Arabidopsis thaliana: one gene and its partners. The protein of the gene in region 2 interacts with the protein of the main gene of each other region in a pairwise test. Each region holds a gene or a part of one and is shown on either strand. Other genes may lie near its edges.

What was found.
Region 1: the proteins of KRP2 (region 2) and CYCD3;3 interact in a protein complementation assay, tested with the Arabidopsis thaliana proteins (one large-scale study listed by BioGRID).
Region 3: the proteins of KRP2 (region 2) and CYCD4;1 interact in a protein complementation assay, tested with the Arabidopsis thaliana proteins (one large-scale study listed by BioGRID).
Region 4: the proteins of KRP2 (region 2) and CYCD6;1 interact in a two-hybrid assay, tested with the Arabidopsis thaliana proteins (one large-scale study listed by BioGRID).

The regions. Positions count from the first base shown.
Region 1 is NC_003074.8:18,564,606-18,568,636, reverse strand, and holds CYCD3;3 (CYCLIN D3;3), read left to right. Parts: upstream 1-1,802; 5' UTR 1,803-1,967; coding exon 1,968-2,438; intron 2,439-2,516; coding exon 2,517-2,718; intron 2,719-2,804; coding exon 2,805-2,935; intron 2,936-3,033; coding exon 3,034-3,315; 3' UTR 3,316-3,503; downstream 3,504-4,031.
Region 2 is NC_003074.8:18,798,462-18,802,134, reverse strand, and holds KRP2 (KIP-related protein 2), read right to left. Parts: upstream 1,830-3,673; 5' UTR 1,628-1,829; coding exon 1,301-1,627; intron 1,225-1,300; coding exon 1,163-1,224; intron 1,079-1,162; coding exon 911-1,078; coding exon of another isoform or gene 907-910; exon of another isoform or gene 842-906; coding exon 769-841; 3' UTR 540-768; downstream 1-539. UniProt on the Arabidopsis thaliana protein: Binds and inhibits CYCD2-1/CDKA-1 complex kinase activity. Regulates cell division which is crucial for plant growth, development and morphogenesis. May regulate early lateral root initiation by blocking the G1/S phase transition.
Region 3 is NC_003076.8:26,140,915-26,145,517, forward strand, and holds CYCD4;1 (CYCLIN D4;1), read right to left. Parts: upstream 3,080-4,603; 5' UTR 2,837-3,079; coding exon 2,576-2,836; intron 2,429-2,575; coding exon 2,399-2,428; intron 2,270-2,398; coding exon 2,183-2,269; intron 2,081-2,182; coding exon 1,982-2,080; intron 1,891-1,981; coding exon 1,686-1,890; coding exon of another isoform or gene 1,612-1,685; intron 1,550-1,611; coding exon 1,422-1,549; coding exon of another isoform or gene 1,386-1,421; exon of another isoform or gene 1,199-1,385; coding exon of another isoform or gene 1,196-1,198; exon of another isoform or gene 825-1,195; coding exon 678-824; 3' UTR 556-677; downstream 1-555. UniProt on the Arabidopsis thaliana protein: May activate cell cycle in the root apical meristem (RAM) and promote embryonic root (radicle) protrusion.
Region 4 is NC_003075.7:1,431,302-1,435,508, forward strand, and holds CYCD6;1 (Cyclin D6;1), read right to left. Parts: upstream 2,561-4,207; 5' UTR 2,391-2,560; coding exon 2,190-2,390; intron 2,092-2,189; coding exon 2,008-2,091; intron 1,935-2,007; coding exon 1,839-1,934; intron 1,758-1,838; coding exon 1,550-1,757; intron 1,480-1,549; coding exon 1,349-1,479; exon of another isoform or gene 1,263-1,348; coding exon 1,074-1,262; 3' UTR 543-1,073; downstream 1-542. Other genes in the region: AT4G03260 (Outer arm dynein light chain 1 protein), read left to right, coding at 1-130.

The DNA of each region.
Region 1 (4,031 bases), 230 kb from region 2:
TATATTACTATTGTATTAATGGTAAAAACTGAAAAATGGTATCGTAACAATGTATAAAATCGCAAAATTACCAATCTAATGGAACATATTGTAGACCTATTTGGCCATTACACATCAACAAAAAAAACATAATAGAACAAATGGAATATTTTTTAAAAAGACTATGAACAGACAACATTTTAAAGCGATATGATAAGGAATTTCTTTGTTTTTCTTTTTTATCTTTTTAAAAGATAGTATGAAATGTGTAAGAAATGAGAAGTCGCTATTAAACTTTGTACAAATCTCAGACTCTCCCGCTTGTTACCAATGGCCTCTTCCTCTCGTGATTAACTTTTCCCCATTCCTTATTTATTTGTCTTTTGCTTTTTCATTTTTTCAATTTTTTTTTACCACACATTGCTTTCTTTCACAATCGATAAAGATCATCAATATATATACTATGTGTTAAAAAAAAGTAACAATTGTTGCTTTGTTAACCGCGTCTAGGTCGATAGGAACGCAGTAAACGTGACAACAGGATCATTCACTCTGCTTATAATAACACTTTTACTACTATAGATGTAAAATATGAAATTATCTTTCAGTTTACTATTGAGTACTAAATATTTAAACAGAAGCTTAATTTATTATACATTATGTTTTGTACTACTAACTATAATGTTTGTTCCACAACTATTATAAATAGACTCAGTTATATGTATAAGTTGCATTTATGTATCTTGAACGTTAAAGTTTGGTACAACTTTTGTTACGAGTACATCGAATACATTTACATTTTAATCGGCTTTTTTGGGTCCTCAGTCTTTAGATTTTTTAGCATATAAAGCAGTGAGAATTAAACTTGAAATGCTCATCAAGATCAAGCTATTATATTTAAAAATTAACTTTATAGGTTACATAAAGAAAAATTAAGTAACGTAGTTTACTAATAAAGCGCAAGCGTTTTAACAGAACGAGGTCCTTTTTTCCTAGTTAATTATGTTTTTGTTTTTTCTAATGTTTATGTCAGCTCGTTGACCATATAAAGCTTCCCATTCGTCCACGTGGATTTTCCTCTGACATATATGACCCCACGGGTGATTTTATATGATTATATATATCAATTTGAATCTTCTTTTTCCGTATATCATAAATTAATTCACCAAAAAAAAAAGTGAAAAATTTGCTACTAATAAATTACGATTAATAAATCTTTAAATCGAATAAAAACACAATGACAGTGACTCTACACATTACGATATTTTCAGAGTTTATGTAAAATTATGTTGTATTAACCAAAATCAAAGTACTAATGACGAAAAAAAAAAAAAAAAAAAAATCTTTTCACTTGTAATCATCGATGCTTGAAACCGAAAGGTGACAAATATAATTAATGGTCAACGCATTTATCCACCACTGAAACTTCCACCACCACCTCATAAGCGCGTGAATCACACGCTCTAACAGAGAGTATCTTTACTCGCATCCAACGAACAGGGATCAAAAGCGTGTAACTACACATTCAATAAGCACGTGAGTATAAGCTTTTTTGTAAATAGTACGTATGTTTTTAAAACTAAAGATTTTAATTAATTCATAGTTATGATTTCAATTTATAATTAATTTATGGAGATAGGAAATTAATTACAAAAGAAAAGATTTTTCCATTTCTGTGAATAAAACAAAGAAGAAGTACGGTTTCATTAATTTTCTCGCGCGCCAAACATCCGAATATTAAAAGACAAAATAAAAGCAGAGAGAGAAAATAAAAATAAAATTAAAAAAAAAACATAAAATCTTTTAATAAAAAAAAAGAAAAAAAAAAGAGGACAAGCGTGAAATAAAACCCTTCACTTTCTTTGGCATTTGTCTTCACTTCTTTTATCTCTCTTTCTATCTCACACAGAGTGAAGAATCCAGAGAGTCTCTAATGGCAGAATGAACAAAGGAATTAGCAATCATCTTCTTCTCGGAAGAGAAAAATCATGGCTTTAGAAGAGGAGGAAGAGAGTCAAAACGCACCGTTTTGTGTTCTTGATGGTCTTTTCTGTGAGGAAGAGAGTGAGTTTCACGAACAAGTAGATTTGTGCGACGAGAGTGTTGAAAAGTTTCCTTTTTTAAATCTGGGTTTGTCTGATCATGATATGTTGTGGGATGATGATGAGTTATCAACTTTGATTTCGAAACAAGAACCGTGTCTTTATGACGAAATCTTAGATGATGAGTTTCTGGTTTTGTGTCGTGAAAAGGCTCTTGATTGGATTTTTAAAGTGAAATCTCATTATGGGTTTAATTCATTGACGGCTCTTTTAGCTGTTAATTACTTCGATAGGTTTATTACAAGCAGGAAGTTTCAGACAGATAAGCCATGGATGTCTCAGCTTACTGCTTTGGCTTGTCTGTCTTTAGCTGCTAAGGTTGAAGAGATCCGTGTTCCTTTTCTCTTAGATTTTCAAGTAAGTTTCTCACTTTTTCTCAGATTCAATTTTGTGAAATTGCAGATTTTTGAGACTTGTGTTTGGTCTTTTTGTAAGGTGGAAGAAGCAAGATATGTCTTTGAAGCTAAGACTATACAGAGAATGGAGCTTCTTGTTCTGTCTACTCTTGACTGGAGGATGCATCCTGTGACTCCAATCTCGTTTTTCGATCACATTATTCGACGATACAGCTTTAAATCTCATCATCAATTGGAGTTCTTGAGTAGATGTGAATCTTTATTACTCTCCATTATTCCTGGTAATGTTTACCATTAGGTTTAGATCTCTTGAATCTACTTGATTTTGTTGTGGATGCTAAATTTTCTGTTCTTGGTTTCTTTTCAGATTCGAGATTTCTGAGTTTTAGTCCTTCTGTGTTAGCCACTGCAATAATGGTCTCTGTTATTAGAGATTTGAAGATGTGTGACGAAGCTGTATACCAATCTCAGCTCATGACTCTACTCAAAGTTGATTCGGTATGTGGTTACGGTGTCTTTGATCAATAAATGCCAATGTGATTAGTGTAAGGTTTAAGGATCTAGAACTGATTTTATCATCATTATACTTGAAACAGGAGAAGGTAAATAAATGCTATGAGTTAGTGTTAGACCACAGTCCAAGCAAGAAAAGGATGATGAATTGGATGCAACAACCCGCTAGTCCGATCGGTGTGTTTGATGCGTCATTCAGTTCTGATAGCTCGAATGAGTCGTGGGTTGTGTCTGCTTCTGCTTCAGTGTCGTCTTCACCATCTTCAGAGCCTTTGCTCAAGAGGAGAAGAGTGCAAGAGCAGCAGATGAGGCTATCTTCAATAAACCGAATGTTTTTCGATGTGCTTAGTAGTAGTCCTCGCTAATAATGTCAACAACCCATCAAAATGTGTCGGTTTAGTTACCTAAAATCTGTTTCCATGTTTTACATATTATCGGCTATATGGTTCTCGGTTCTTGTGTTTATGGACGGTTGCAAATGGTGTACGTTTCGTTATTTGATATTCTAAAAACAAAGTTCTTTTACATTAAAAGTTTCCGCTGGATCTTACCTTTTTCATGGCTTGATGATGATCTAATTTCGTCTCACAACCTCTGCATTTTGCAAGTAGAAAGATAACAGTCAAAGATTATACACAAACATTACCATTACACTATTGGCATTGGTCTAAAACATCACATACATGATTGTTTAGTACTTAGTACAGGTATGTGGAAATTTGTCCTTTGAAGTTTGAATTGAAGAGACAACGATTGAGTTAGTTGGATGACCAATAGTGTTGGACAACTAGAGAGTTTGTTAGCTACTCCTCCAAAGTTTTAAGTTTTATTTTTAAAAAATGTTCTAATAAATTTTGTTCTATTTTTGGGAGGTTTGATTTGAGAGGAAATGCAGAGAGACCAACACTTGGGTTGGTCCAAGTACTTGTGTTCAATTCAGTTGTGGTGAAAAGCAAAACAGGTTGGGATATACACATAACATTACGTACACATATCACTTTATCTACTTCTTGCCATTGCTATGTCATGTCATAACATTAAATAAATATACCTTCCATGAAGAGTCTTGTTATCACACAGG
Region 2 (3,673 bases):
TCAACTTCTTCTTCTTCTTCTTCTTTTTTTTGGTTGTTGCTAATCGAGTATAAATTATAGGCGTTAGGTACACCAACCATATCTAATATCCATGTTATATTAGATAGATAAATTAGGAAAATAAAATAATACAACTCAAAATAGTTACTTTGTTGAAAGAAATTGAGAGGGAAAAACTGGAAGTGTATATTTAAGCTATTTTATTTTTAAAAAATATATAATTTCAAATAGCTAAATTTGTAAAATGCAAGGAGATAGTACAATATTTTAGTTTAATAACTTGTAAAGCACAAACAAGTTCGTAGTTAATCACTAGAGTAGCACCTACAATCCAATCCAAGTGAGAATAAAATAGTAACTTTTTTACTGAAAAAGCCTGATCAATAAACAGTTATATTCCTTTACCACGTCAGCCGTGACCCTTTTTTGTTCTGCTCTACACTCTCTTTTCATTGTTAAAAAAAAAAAATCAAATACTGTATGATAATTGATACATAGAAATAATAGAAGCTATTTAGTTTTCAGTAACAATTATAATTACTCTTAGAGTTATAAACTTATAGTTTATTAATCGAGAAAAACACGAATCTAATTAATTACCTCAAGGAAGTACAAACAAAAGTTGAATTACATGTTATTGATTATTCGAGAGAAAGATATCTACATTTGGATTTTGTTAAAAGAAAAATCAAAGCAAAGATTATTACAGAAGAGAAATAATAAGTACTTTGGTGAAAACAATGATCATCATTATCATCATCGTCTTCTTCATGGATTCAATTTAACCCACTCGTATCTTCCTCCACCAAGTGGCTCATCTTTCTCGAAATCGAAGTTATACCTAACAACAAATTCATTATCAGTTTCAAAAATTCGATTAAAAGATTTGAATCAAAAAAAAAAAACTTACTTCATAGAACATTCCAACAACTTATTCCGAAGATCTTTCTCCGCCACCTGAAAAAAGTCTTCTAACTCAGCTTCCTTCACCGTCTCATGGAGACTCTTCCTTAACCTGCGGCGAGACTCTACATCTTCAACAGCCACCGAAGAAGAATCCATGTTCATCGATTCCTCACTATACACAAAAAAATCAAAGACATTTTATAGAAATGTTTGTTACTGATTCAAAATTTTAATATCTGTAACAAATTAAACAAACCTCTTATTCAAATCATCGTAAATCCACGACGTTTCTGTTTCACGATCGTCACCGTTATTTTCCTGGAAAAACGAATTCAAAAATTTCAAAATCTGTAAATCAAAATTCAGTTTCGATAAATAATGCTTTCGTTGTCACCTCAAGATCTACAAATTCGATTCTCCGTTTCGATTTCTCTTCCGATGTAGAACAACACGAAACCGACGAATCTTCTTCTTCGATTTGACACTGTTCTTCAACCGGAGGAGAATCTCGCCGTCGTACTATAACAACACTCGTCTCCGACGCTCCTGCTGAATTTCTCGCCACAATTCCACCGCGATTCGTCGCCTGTACACACGGAGACAGAATTATCCTAGATTCCACTAAATCCACTTCCTCCTCCATCTTCCTTCGTTTCACCGTCGTCGTCGTAACTCCATTCTCTTCAACCACATCTCGTTCTCTTCTCCTAACCGCCGCCATAATCTCCTACGACGTCACCTTCCAGATCTCTATCTCTCTCTAAAATCACTCGTTATGTGTGCGTGTTTGTGTTTCTCTCTCTTTCTCTCTACTAGAGAGTCTCTAGCTCGCGTACCATTTGGGTTATTCTGTTATAAGATGGTGACGATCTTCGTTTTGATCGTAATTTGTTAACGGCCACGATTAACTCTTGTCATTTTCATATAAAGCCTCGTGTGAAGTAGGAATAGTAATTCTTTTAATATGTAACGGAGAATTTGACGGCGCCGTTAAAAATCGAGTATTTTATACCTTACACGATTGATACGTGTCTTTTATTCGTTACGATTACATTAATAGTTTCAAAGTTTACAAAATCAGTGCAATTAGTGCATATCTAGTTACTTTAGAATGATAAATTTTTTTGAATTCAAATTTTTTTGAATTAATATGTTGTTTTTATTTATTTTAATATAATTGGCTGGCTTTTCCAATAAATCAACGAGAATGAAAATAATTATTGTGGATATTAAGATAAAACTGTTTATTTTTTGTTATAATAATTACGAATTTATATTATAAAGATAACAATAATACCATCAAATTATCATATTAATTCACAGACGATCAAATAGATAAAAAAATGTGTGTAAAGCAATATAATGTATATGCAACATGGAATTTGACAACGATGTTATAGATCGAGTATCTTATACCTTTACACGATCAACATATGTCTTTTATTCGATGTGATTACATTAACGGTGTCAACGTTTACAGAATCAGTGCATATCTACGACTACGTTAACGGTGTCAACGTTTACAGAATCAGTGCATAATTTTTTTTTTAGAATGGTAAATAGAATTTGAATTCAATTTTTTAATTAATATGTTTTCTGTTTTTTAAAATAATTGGTTGGTGTTTCCAATGAAATAGAATGAGAATAATTATCGTGGATTTTAAAAATAAATTTAGATTTGATAATTTTTTGTTGTAATAATTGCGAATTTAGATTATAAAGACAATAAAAATCTTAGATTTATAGAGAAAAATGACAATATCATCCAATCATCTTAAATAGATTAAAAAAAATGTGTGTAAAGCAATGTAATGTTGTCACGTTACATTATTAGTGATAATATGTGTTTCTGTGTTAAGATCTTATCAGTATTTGACAATGTAGTTGTGTATAGTTTTTCAATGCATAGTCGTAATATTTCAATTTTGTGAGGGGGTCGACCGTACACATATCAAAATAAGGTATAAAATACATTAAGTCTAAAATACATTAAGTCTAGGGCCATGACGTATTTAACGGTTAGGTGATAATGAAATCAATGCTGCGACATGCTGTTTTGTTGTGGCAATACAATACGTACACAAACATATTCACATGCTTAAATATTACTACTAATTCACACAGTGAATTAAATACTACTAGTTCATATCGCATACATTTCGTTGGTAAAAATAAAAGAATTTTTTTCCATCATCATTTTCGTCTTATATTGAATTTTTTCTTTTTTTTTAATGCCGTCGTTCTGTATCGATTCTTGAGTTCACACAAGACAGTGTCTGCGCATATCCATCATACCATTCAATTTAATAATGTGCCCACGAGCTGCATACTCAATCATTACTAAACTGTCTCTCTCTTTTTTACACTCACTATAACAATGTGTAAGTATATATACATACTTATGAGATATTCAAAATAAAATAGTGAGCTAAACATATAATGTAGTTTAAAAATTCGCATAATATATGTTGTTGACTTCAAAAGAACAAAGATTATCATAACAATTACTACGAAAATAAAATTATCATATATCTATGTATACATCCGTAGTTCTTAATTATGAAAACTTAAACGCTAGTACCAACAAATGAATCCCTAAGTTTTAAAATCTCTCAATGAATACATATTGATATTCGTTTTGAAGGATAATTTTCGATTTAAATTGTGATAGTATTTATCGTAAAACATTACTTTTAGATATGTCCCAGTTTTTATCCAAATATACATAAAGACTGTGCCTATCATGAAAAGTGAAATTGCAACACAT
Region 3 (4,603 bases), on a different chromosome or scaffold from region 2:
CGCACAATTATTTTATTTCAGGATCATCAAATTGCTAGTATGCCATGCGACAATGGTAGACCCAAATGATTAAATTTAATGAATATAGCATTGGCCCATTTTCTTCATAGTTACAGATCCTAGAGGTTTAGTGGACCTGGAGTCCAATCATTTTATTTATTTTTTGTTAAAAAGTTTTCAATAAAATATTGGGATTTTGGAGTTTTGTTGATAAAAGGTATAAAACGCAAAAGCTCCATAAAGCACAACCTAGCTTTGGTCTCTTTACGTCAACTTTAAGTCAAAGACTTCTGTTCGTGGGCCCAATTCTAAGCCCATTAGTGCGATGCGCGCTTTATCTCACAACGGCACCGTTTGAATTAAAAAAGGTCAACTCTAACGCTCAACAGAACCGATACGGTTTTTTCCCGCTATATTTATTTGGCGGGAACCAATTAAAAAAAGCTCTGTTTTTCCTTTGTTTTATTTTCTTTCTCTTTTTTGCTATTTCCTGCCAACAAAAAATTCTTATAATTTTATTTGTTCAGTATTACCAAAGCTATAAACAAATCAAATATTGAAATTAATACACTTTTATTTATTTAAAAATTTTTGCTTTGATTTATTGTCCTCTTTTTTCAACCTCTCATCAGACATCATACTGATTATAATAATGTAAGAAAAAAACAGTTTTTTTTTTAAGAAAGATGTGTATAAGAAGAAGAAGAATCATGGGTCTTAAAGCTGAAACAACAAGCCGATACTTCTAAAACCCCATTGGGTGTTTGTGAACATAAGTCTGAGCCATCACTCTCTATCATTTCCCCTATCTTCTTCACTCTCTCCTGCAATAAAAGGAACCACAAAGTTTAAAGCTTGACACTTTTGTTTTTGTCTCTTGAACACAAACACAAACACAACACACAAAGATCTCTTCAGCTTTTTCTGGTGTAGAAAAACAACTAATGGAAACCAGGCTGATGTTTTGGATTGCAAGATCAAATCAGAATCAAACATGTTTTTGTGGGGGCAGATTGGTTTTAGATGTGACTAGAGGCTGTGCAGTGAATGTGTGTGTGTGACAGAGAGAGTCACAAGACACATAGCTAGAGAATAATATAATTTAAAGTGGTCTTTGGTCTACTCTCCACTAGTTTTGGAAGTCAAAGGATTCAGACCCATTAACCGGTTTCTCTTTTTTTTTTTTTTTTTTTTTTTACTTTTTGGATTTATAATTACACATATTATGTGTATGCAATGAATAAGTTAGTGCACACACATATATACACATAAATGTGTCATCTTTAATGAGTTCAAACTTCTCCACAACTGGCATTTCCTTGAAATTGAACCACCAAAGGCTGCTTTATATGTGTGTGTGTGTTTGGTATTAAAAAACAATAGATTTATGAGTTTGAGATGTTTGGTGGATTGTTTTTTACCTTTTGAAGTAGTGAGAAAAGAGGAGAGAAGGAAGAGTTGTCAAAGTGTACTCTCTGCAATTCTCCAGAAACAGAAAGTGCCACAGCAGCAGCAACTTCAGAAGGTCTAAACTCCAAAAAGTCAATACCTGCTCACTCGACACAACCACCATTTTAATCCAAAATCATAAAAAGCAAAAGTGAAAAAAACAACAAAACCCAAAAAAGCACAAAAACAAAAGTGGTCAAGAAAATAAAACATAAAGGAAAGACTTTTTTTTTCACCTTTGGTTGTGCTGGCTATCACTTGTAATGATCTAGATATCAATGTGTTGGATGGTTCTTGATCACATTTACTCATCTTTCTCAGGAAATATCTTATGTATGAGCATGGAGTTATTGCTCTCAATCTCCATTTCAATTTGTTCAACACCAAAAGCTCCATTCTTTGGACTGATTTAGCCTCAAACACAAACTGAGGATCTCCAACCTGTTCCGAAATGTGATCAAACCGCAATCGATTCAAGACATTGTCGGGTCGAATAGAACATCTCGACAATTTAACGAGTTTAGAGGAGAACCTGAAGATCTATCAACATTGGAACTTCAGTTTCTTCAATTTTGGCTGCCAATGATAAACAAGCCACAGCCAACAACTGCAATATCCAACCTTTGCCACTCTACAAGAAGAATCACAAATCAAGAAGCGAAAAAATGAGACTTTTTGATGATGAATGGCTAAAAACATTATCAATCTTTTAGTTTAACCAATGTGAACTTACAGGCAAATCATGAACCGATAAGAATCGATCCAAGTAGTTCATTGCTAAGCAAAAACACAATGGTCCAAACTGGTGTACTTCACAAGCCTGTTGTAATCAGAACAGAAGAAAAGATCAATTAGAGATCTAAAACTCTGAGACTGAAGTGAATCTATTGTCAATTGAAGTGTGAAAGATCGGAAATTGAGCATCAGATTTACAGATTTAAGACAAAACCTCTCTATCTGTTCTGCATAAGCCTCTGATCTAATAGACATAGCAACACACTCTTTATGTTCAGATCATTCATCAAAAGGATTGTGCTTTTCACAATTTGAGCTTATACAGATCATTCAAAACCAATCAACATCCAAATTTCAAAACCAGAAATCAAAATCAAATAGAGAATCAGACCTTCCAAATCCAATTGAGGGCATCTCTTCTTCCAACATTCAAATCCAAATCTCCACTTCTAAGTCTCTTGATGTAATCATCACTTGGCAAATGCTGCTTCTCCTTCTCCACCATCTCCATGATAATCTCCTCACTCTCCGATTGAGAAAAACCCATCTGAGGAATCGAAATTTCAATCGGAGTTTCGTCAACAATCATGCCCTCATCATCAACGTTGCTCTCTGTACATAAAAGACTCAGTTCTAGATTCTCCTCTGCCATTACAACAGAGTGTTCATGTAAGAAAAATTGATCCTTTGTATTTGGTAATCGATCTAAAAGGAACTGTATCGTTAGATTGTCATCTAGAGATTGGGGAAGTGAAAGAAAGATTGGGTCTTTGATATTTCTGTATGCCCTCGTGGAGGAAGGGGTTTTTGTTTTGGGGTTGAGGGTAAAATTAAAGGGTGAAGCTTTTCTTTTTTTTATTGAGGAAGTTAAGAAATGTGGTTTTTAGGGTAAGATGGAGATTGTGTGAGAAGGAGAGAGGCTATATATAATGGTGAAGAAGATGAAAAATGTAAGATAAAATTTGAAGATTTTAGAAAGTGAATTGACTATCATGGTAACAAATGTGAGAAGTTGGAAAATTATGAAAATGTGGTAGGAAATTGAGGTGAGAATTGAAAAGTTAGTTGGTTTTATTCGTTGTATTTTAGTTTTTAGATGATGAATCGAGTGAATATCGTTGGTAGTTCGGTATCAGATTTGCGCCATAAGTTTTTTGGAATTTGTATTTCGGTCTTGTATGCATAGTTAACAGTTAACATTTTTGTATATTCAATGGTAAAATATTGAATGTTGAAAGATTTAATCATAGTATATGTCTTTACATATTTTTTGATATTTCATAATTTTATTCCTTGTTTTAATAACAGTAAAATATATATAGTTTGACTAATAGTTTAAAACAGTATTGAATTCTATAAATCTTAGGAAATATTTTTTAACAAAATTGTTTGACTAAATAATGCAATTTGATATTATGATCGAAATATACGCTGAATCATGATATTTTATTTTCAATATCCGACATTGAACAAAATAAAAATGACCCCAAAAAAACTAATGTAAATTCATGCCACAAATAAAAAGAAGTTTTGAATGTAAAATTTGACTCAAAATCCATCTATAATGATATTTGAACCATTTGCTCTGGTAGATCTTTGACCACTGTTTTTTGATTCTAGGGTCACTTTTAGACACAATAATTTCAATATCTATCATCATTGCATATACCTTTGAATGAAAAAGCAGACTGTATATTTGTATAAGAACTACGTCATATACTCATTTAAGTTCAAAATATGGTCTCTGTTTGTTACACAATATGGTCTTTGTTTTTTACACATTATGGTCTTTCTTTAATATGGTTTTAGTTTACCCAAATATACTGTCTTCTGTTTTACCCAACTTATAAGATTTAACTATAAGGTTTTTAATATTTATAAAAGTATTTATTTTTGTTCTCTTGCAAGTTGAGGTCAATAACTAGTGCTCTATCACCTCCAAAGATTCTACATTAGTATATTTGTAAGGAGATTAGTATTTTTTATTTATAAATAGTAATTAGTAATTTTCTACCACATGAAAATAAAGCTAGCTACGCGACGAGTTGCTTGAAAACACCACACGAGAATTTCTTGCTTGAGGTTACATGGCAAATAGTCATCGAGCCACTGGTTTCAACTTTCAACTACTATATAGTCATGTTATGGAATGAAACATCAAACATTAGCTCATTGTCATTTTAGTTAACAAAGTCGTATTTTGTAGGAAGCAAATGAATTACACAAAATTCATTGCAATAATAAAGAAAATTTTTCCTTGAAAACGATTATCTTACTTTCAAAAATCAAATTTCATTCTATATTATATCTGTTATTCTTACAATTTTCATATTTTCTCGTTTCTTCATTATCAGTCGGAGTCTTAAAAAATTGTAAAGATAAACTCCTGTTCATACAATATATTCTTATCCAACTAAGT
Region 4 (4,207 bases), on a different chromosome or scaffold from region 2:
TGTGGGACACAAACTATCTCCAGCTGCTTACGAGAATTATCACGTTGCTACTGGTGATAGATTGTCTAGTCTGAGAACTGAGCTCTCCATGCGAAGAAGTCGAAGTGAAGGAACTCTCGGACCTATCTGATCTCTCTCTCTCCCTCTTTCATTGCCTGCGATTTCCTTAGCGAGGTAACGATGAAGATGTGATAGATACACACTTTCTTCCCTTTATTCATCTTCTTCATCTTTGTGTTTTGTTGTTGTGCATTACATACATCAGAAGCTTTGATTCTTATAGCTTCTCAATAATGTCTGAAATTGGAAACCATGGTATACATTCTTTTCAGCACAGTCTGAGTCTTGCAATTGTTTTCATTAAGTAATGGGCTTGAATGGATCTTGTATATCACAATCTTGGGCCGTTATGATGCTAGTGGGCCTAATATGGGTTAGTGCAAGGGATTCATTTACAGTAAGAACAAAAGCAATTGAATGATTTAAAGACTGTGTAAAGTGGTCCAAAGAGTATCATATTGCCTGCCTGCAACAGAGATTCTGGCAACTGGATCCATATAAGTCGGATAACGAAGTCTCATAAGACAAAATCTTATTCCTGAAAATTGAATTCATTGTTATCTCGTGACCACATTTGTTCATTAATAAATAACATAACCATAGGGTTATATACACTACACAAGAACAATATTTATTGATTATTCCCCCCAAGTGAAACAACTTAACTCCACAAGCCAAAACTGTAAATACAGAACATGATTGATAGGTAGATAGATAGATAAATACTACAGACTGGTAATTTGTTTTTCTTTTGAATTTTTTGAGTTTTGTGTTGTGGTCCAAAGGAACAAGCAACGGAACAGAACCCGAGACTTTGTCTTTGATCATTCATCACTCTCTTGTCTTCCAGGAAGAGAGAAATGGTTTATTTTTGAAGCAGAAGAAGATGGATGGAGATAAGGGGAAAGGAAGCAAGTGTCATTTTCATAAGGGGACCAGAAGTGGTTTTTGAAGTAGCTAAGTGATTGATTTCATCTGACGATTATGTTTGACCATTAACCACCTTTTTCAGCTTAGTAACGACGAGTACTAGTTTTCCTCCTCTTAGGTGAAGAAGAAGCTGTGATTGTGATGCTCTTATCGCTTTCACAACTCGAGAATTGCTGATCAAGCACATTTACTGCTGTTTCAGTGCTTCCTTCGTTTTCTCCAACTATAATATCTCTCTCTTGTATTGCTTTGTAACACTCCATTAACTCATCCTGCAACCACGGTTTAATGCTCGCTTAGTACCGCGATGAAAAAAAAGCTCGATTTGAGATGGTTTACTTGTTCAAGACTTCTTTACCTTATTTACATATGTGCATTGGTTGATTCTGTTACTGAAACATGGAAACTGTAGAGGACAGAGCTCGAAAGAAGCAAAGAGAAGTGCCGCGCCTGCAATCACCGATGGTTTAAACTCGAGGAAACTGATATCTGCAGCGTTTTCAAACAGATTTTAGCATATTGTGATTATGTGATTGAAGAAAAGCAATTCTGTATTTACCATGTTGAAGACTGAAAGTAAGATCACTGGTTTGAGATTTGAGGGAATGTTTTAGTAGTAAAGGATCTTCTTCTTTGAGCTCAAAGAGACTAATGAAAAAGGCCAAAAAGGAGAAAGGAGTAACAGAGCGCATCCTCCATTTAAGAGCTCCTAGAATCACATTCTCCATTCTCTCTATCATCTGAGCATCAAAAAACTCACCTTCCACCTGAAAAAAATCCAATGTTCAGACACTTATCAACACTTTAAAACACATTCACATTATAAAGATTCATGAGTTTTAAGTTACCGGAAGATCAGAAACAGACATGTCTGGTTTCCTCATTTTTGCAGACAAAGAGACACAAGAGAGAGATATGAGCTTAAGAATCCAGGGCTTTGACTGCTGTTGACAAAACAATTTAGTCAAAACTCAGATGAAACAAAGGACAGATTCTGTCGGAAGATTCTGTTTTTACCGGCATATCTTCGCTAGACAAGAACCTGTCTAGATAATTCACAGCAAGATACGTCAGAGATGGGTCGTCGAATTTTCTTGAATACTGCGATTGTTCAGTTACAAATTAAAATAAAGTTAAGTCTTTCGATAACGATTCAGTATTCAGAACTAAACCCAGAAAATAATTTTGGTTAAAAAGACCTGAGTGATTGAAGAAATGGCTTGGTTTCGATTAGAGAGAAGAAAAGCAGAGGACTTGAGGCTATGGAAGTAATGAGAAGAAGGCATGTGTTGAAACTCGACGAGGAAGAGAGAGTGTGGTAAAGTTTCATAGTCTGTGTCGTCGTTGAAGTTATTGTGGAGTGAAGAATGTGAGAGAGGATGTTCAAGATGAAACTCCATTGATTGATGATAGACTCTTCTTAAGCTTCCTTCTTTCTTGAATTGGTGTTAGAAGATGAAGAAGAAGAGAGAGGGACAGAGAGACATTAAAAGAGAGAAGTTGTCTTTATTGTGAGATAGAGAGAGATGGTTTTCGGTCTTTTGAGAGATTTTCCACATTTATTTATTACTACCACTTTGGTTATTTTTTTATTCGATTTTTTCTCATTGATAGTAAGAATTAAGATTTTATCAAAGATAATCAAATCTTTTTCAAGAGATTCTTCTTTTGCAATATTAGAAGGAAAAAAAATCCAATATTCTCTCTTAAATTCTCTATAATCCTCTGTTTTTAATTAAGTGTAGTTCAATAATTTTTTATTTTTTTCAATATAAATGTTGTTTTCACTTTTCTATGCAAACATTAAATGTATTTAATAGTTTTTAACCAATTATATTTTGCATCATATTTTTTTATTGGTTGGATTAGTTGTAATTAATGGTGTTTTTATAAGAAATAGATAAATTAAATGAGATTTGTATGTTTTCTTAATTTGTATGCAAAAACCTTAAACTACAAATATTCATAAACAGAGCCGTTTGTATTAAAAATTTATAACCGTAAATTATTACTTAGTTGTTTAAAAAATATGTAATACACTAATACGTGTAATGTTTTTATTAGATTTTATTACAAATTAAGTCAATAATTCAATAAATAAATAAAATTGCATTTTAGTATTAATATCAAGTACCAAACAATTAAAAAATCATATTGAAAAAAAAACCAGCATAATATATATAGATATTACATTTTGTTTGAGTTTTAGATCATGTAAATTTAGTATCATGCTAAAAAAAAGTTCTTCTATGAATTTTGTGTGTGTTAAAGTTCTTTCATGAATTTGGTAAGACCCAACTTTAAAATATACTAAGGCTGGGGAGATTAAATATGATAATAACATATACTATCGTTAAACCATTTTATTTACCACATAAAGTTGTCATTTACTCATAAATAGAGCTGATGTAATGTACAGTTTTATGTATCAAAAGATTCGTCACTTTGGAATCTCGTCCAAACAGTTACAAACATTGATTAACTTTAGAAATCTTTTTAAGTCTTTGTTTTGTTTTTAATCATCATTGTATCACACATTTTAAATTACTAATTAGGTTGTGACAGCTTGGTTTTCCTTGTCCTTAAGTCTTTGTACTTACCTTTTGTTAGGTTTTGAAATTCCCAACATATATATTCAGATTATTTTTTTTAAGTCAATAAAGAAAAATTGAGAAGTCAATGAACAAACTGCCATGTGAAAACGCCATTTGAACAAACTTTTTGTTTTTATTTTTTTACTTTGATCTTTTACTGCCAAAGCCTGACTGGTCTATTTTTAGACGGAAAAGAAAACATTAATTTTATGTAGAAAATGTGAAATGCAAAGGCCTTTGAAACTCTAGATATGAACGAAATGAAAGAAAACATTGACTGACCTAACAAACATAAGAATTTATATGCTTGTAACGTAAGAAAAAACAGCTTATTAGTTTTTGGGGGTATTAGTATTTGTCCAAAAAAAATGTTTTGGGAGTATTAGCTAATAAACAACAGAAAAGTGTTGATAATAATATAGTTTCTTGTTTTTTAAACAATATAATAGTAATATGTTTCATAGAGAAAGAGTGACAATTTTTTGTTTCTTTTTAACAAATGCCAGATTTTGAACCACTTTAAAGAATAAAAAAATATTAGATATTTATTGCAAAAGAAGTAATTGAATCAAAAAACTTTTAAATAGTGGAAATATATACCCTAAATTGGAAATAAAAACCCC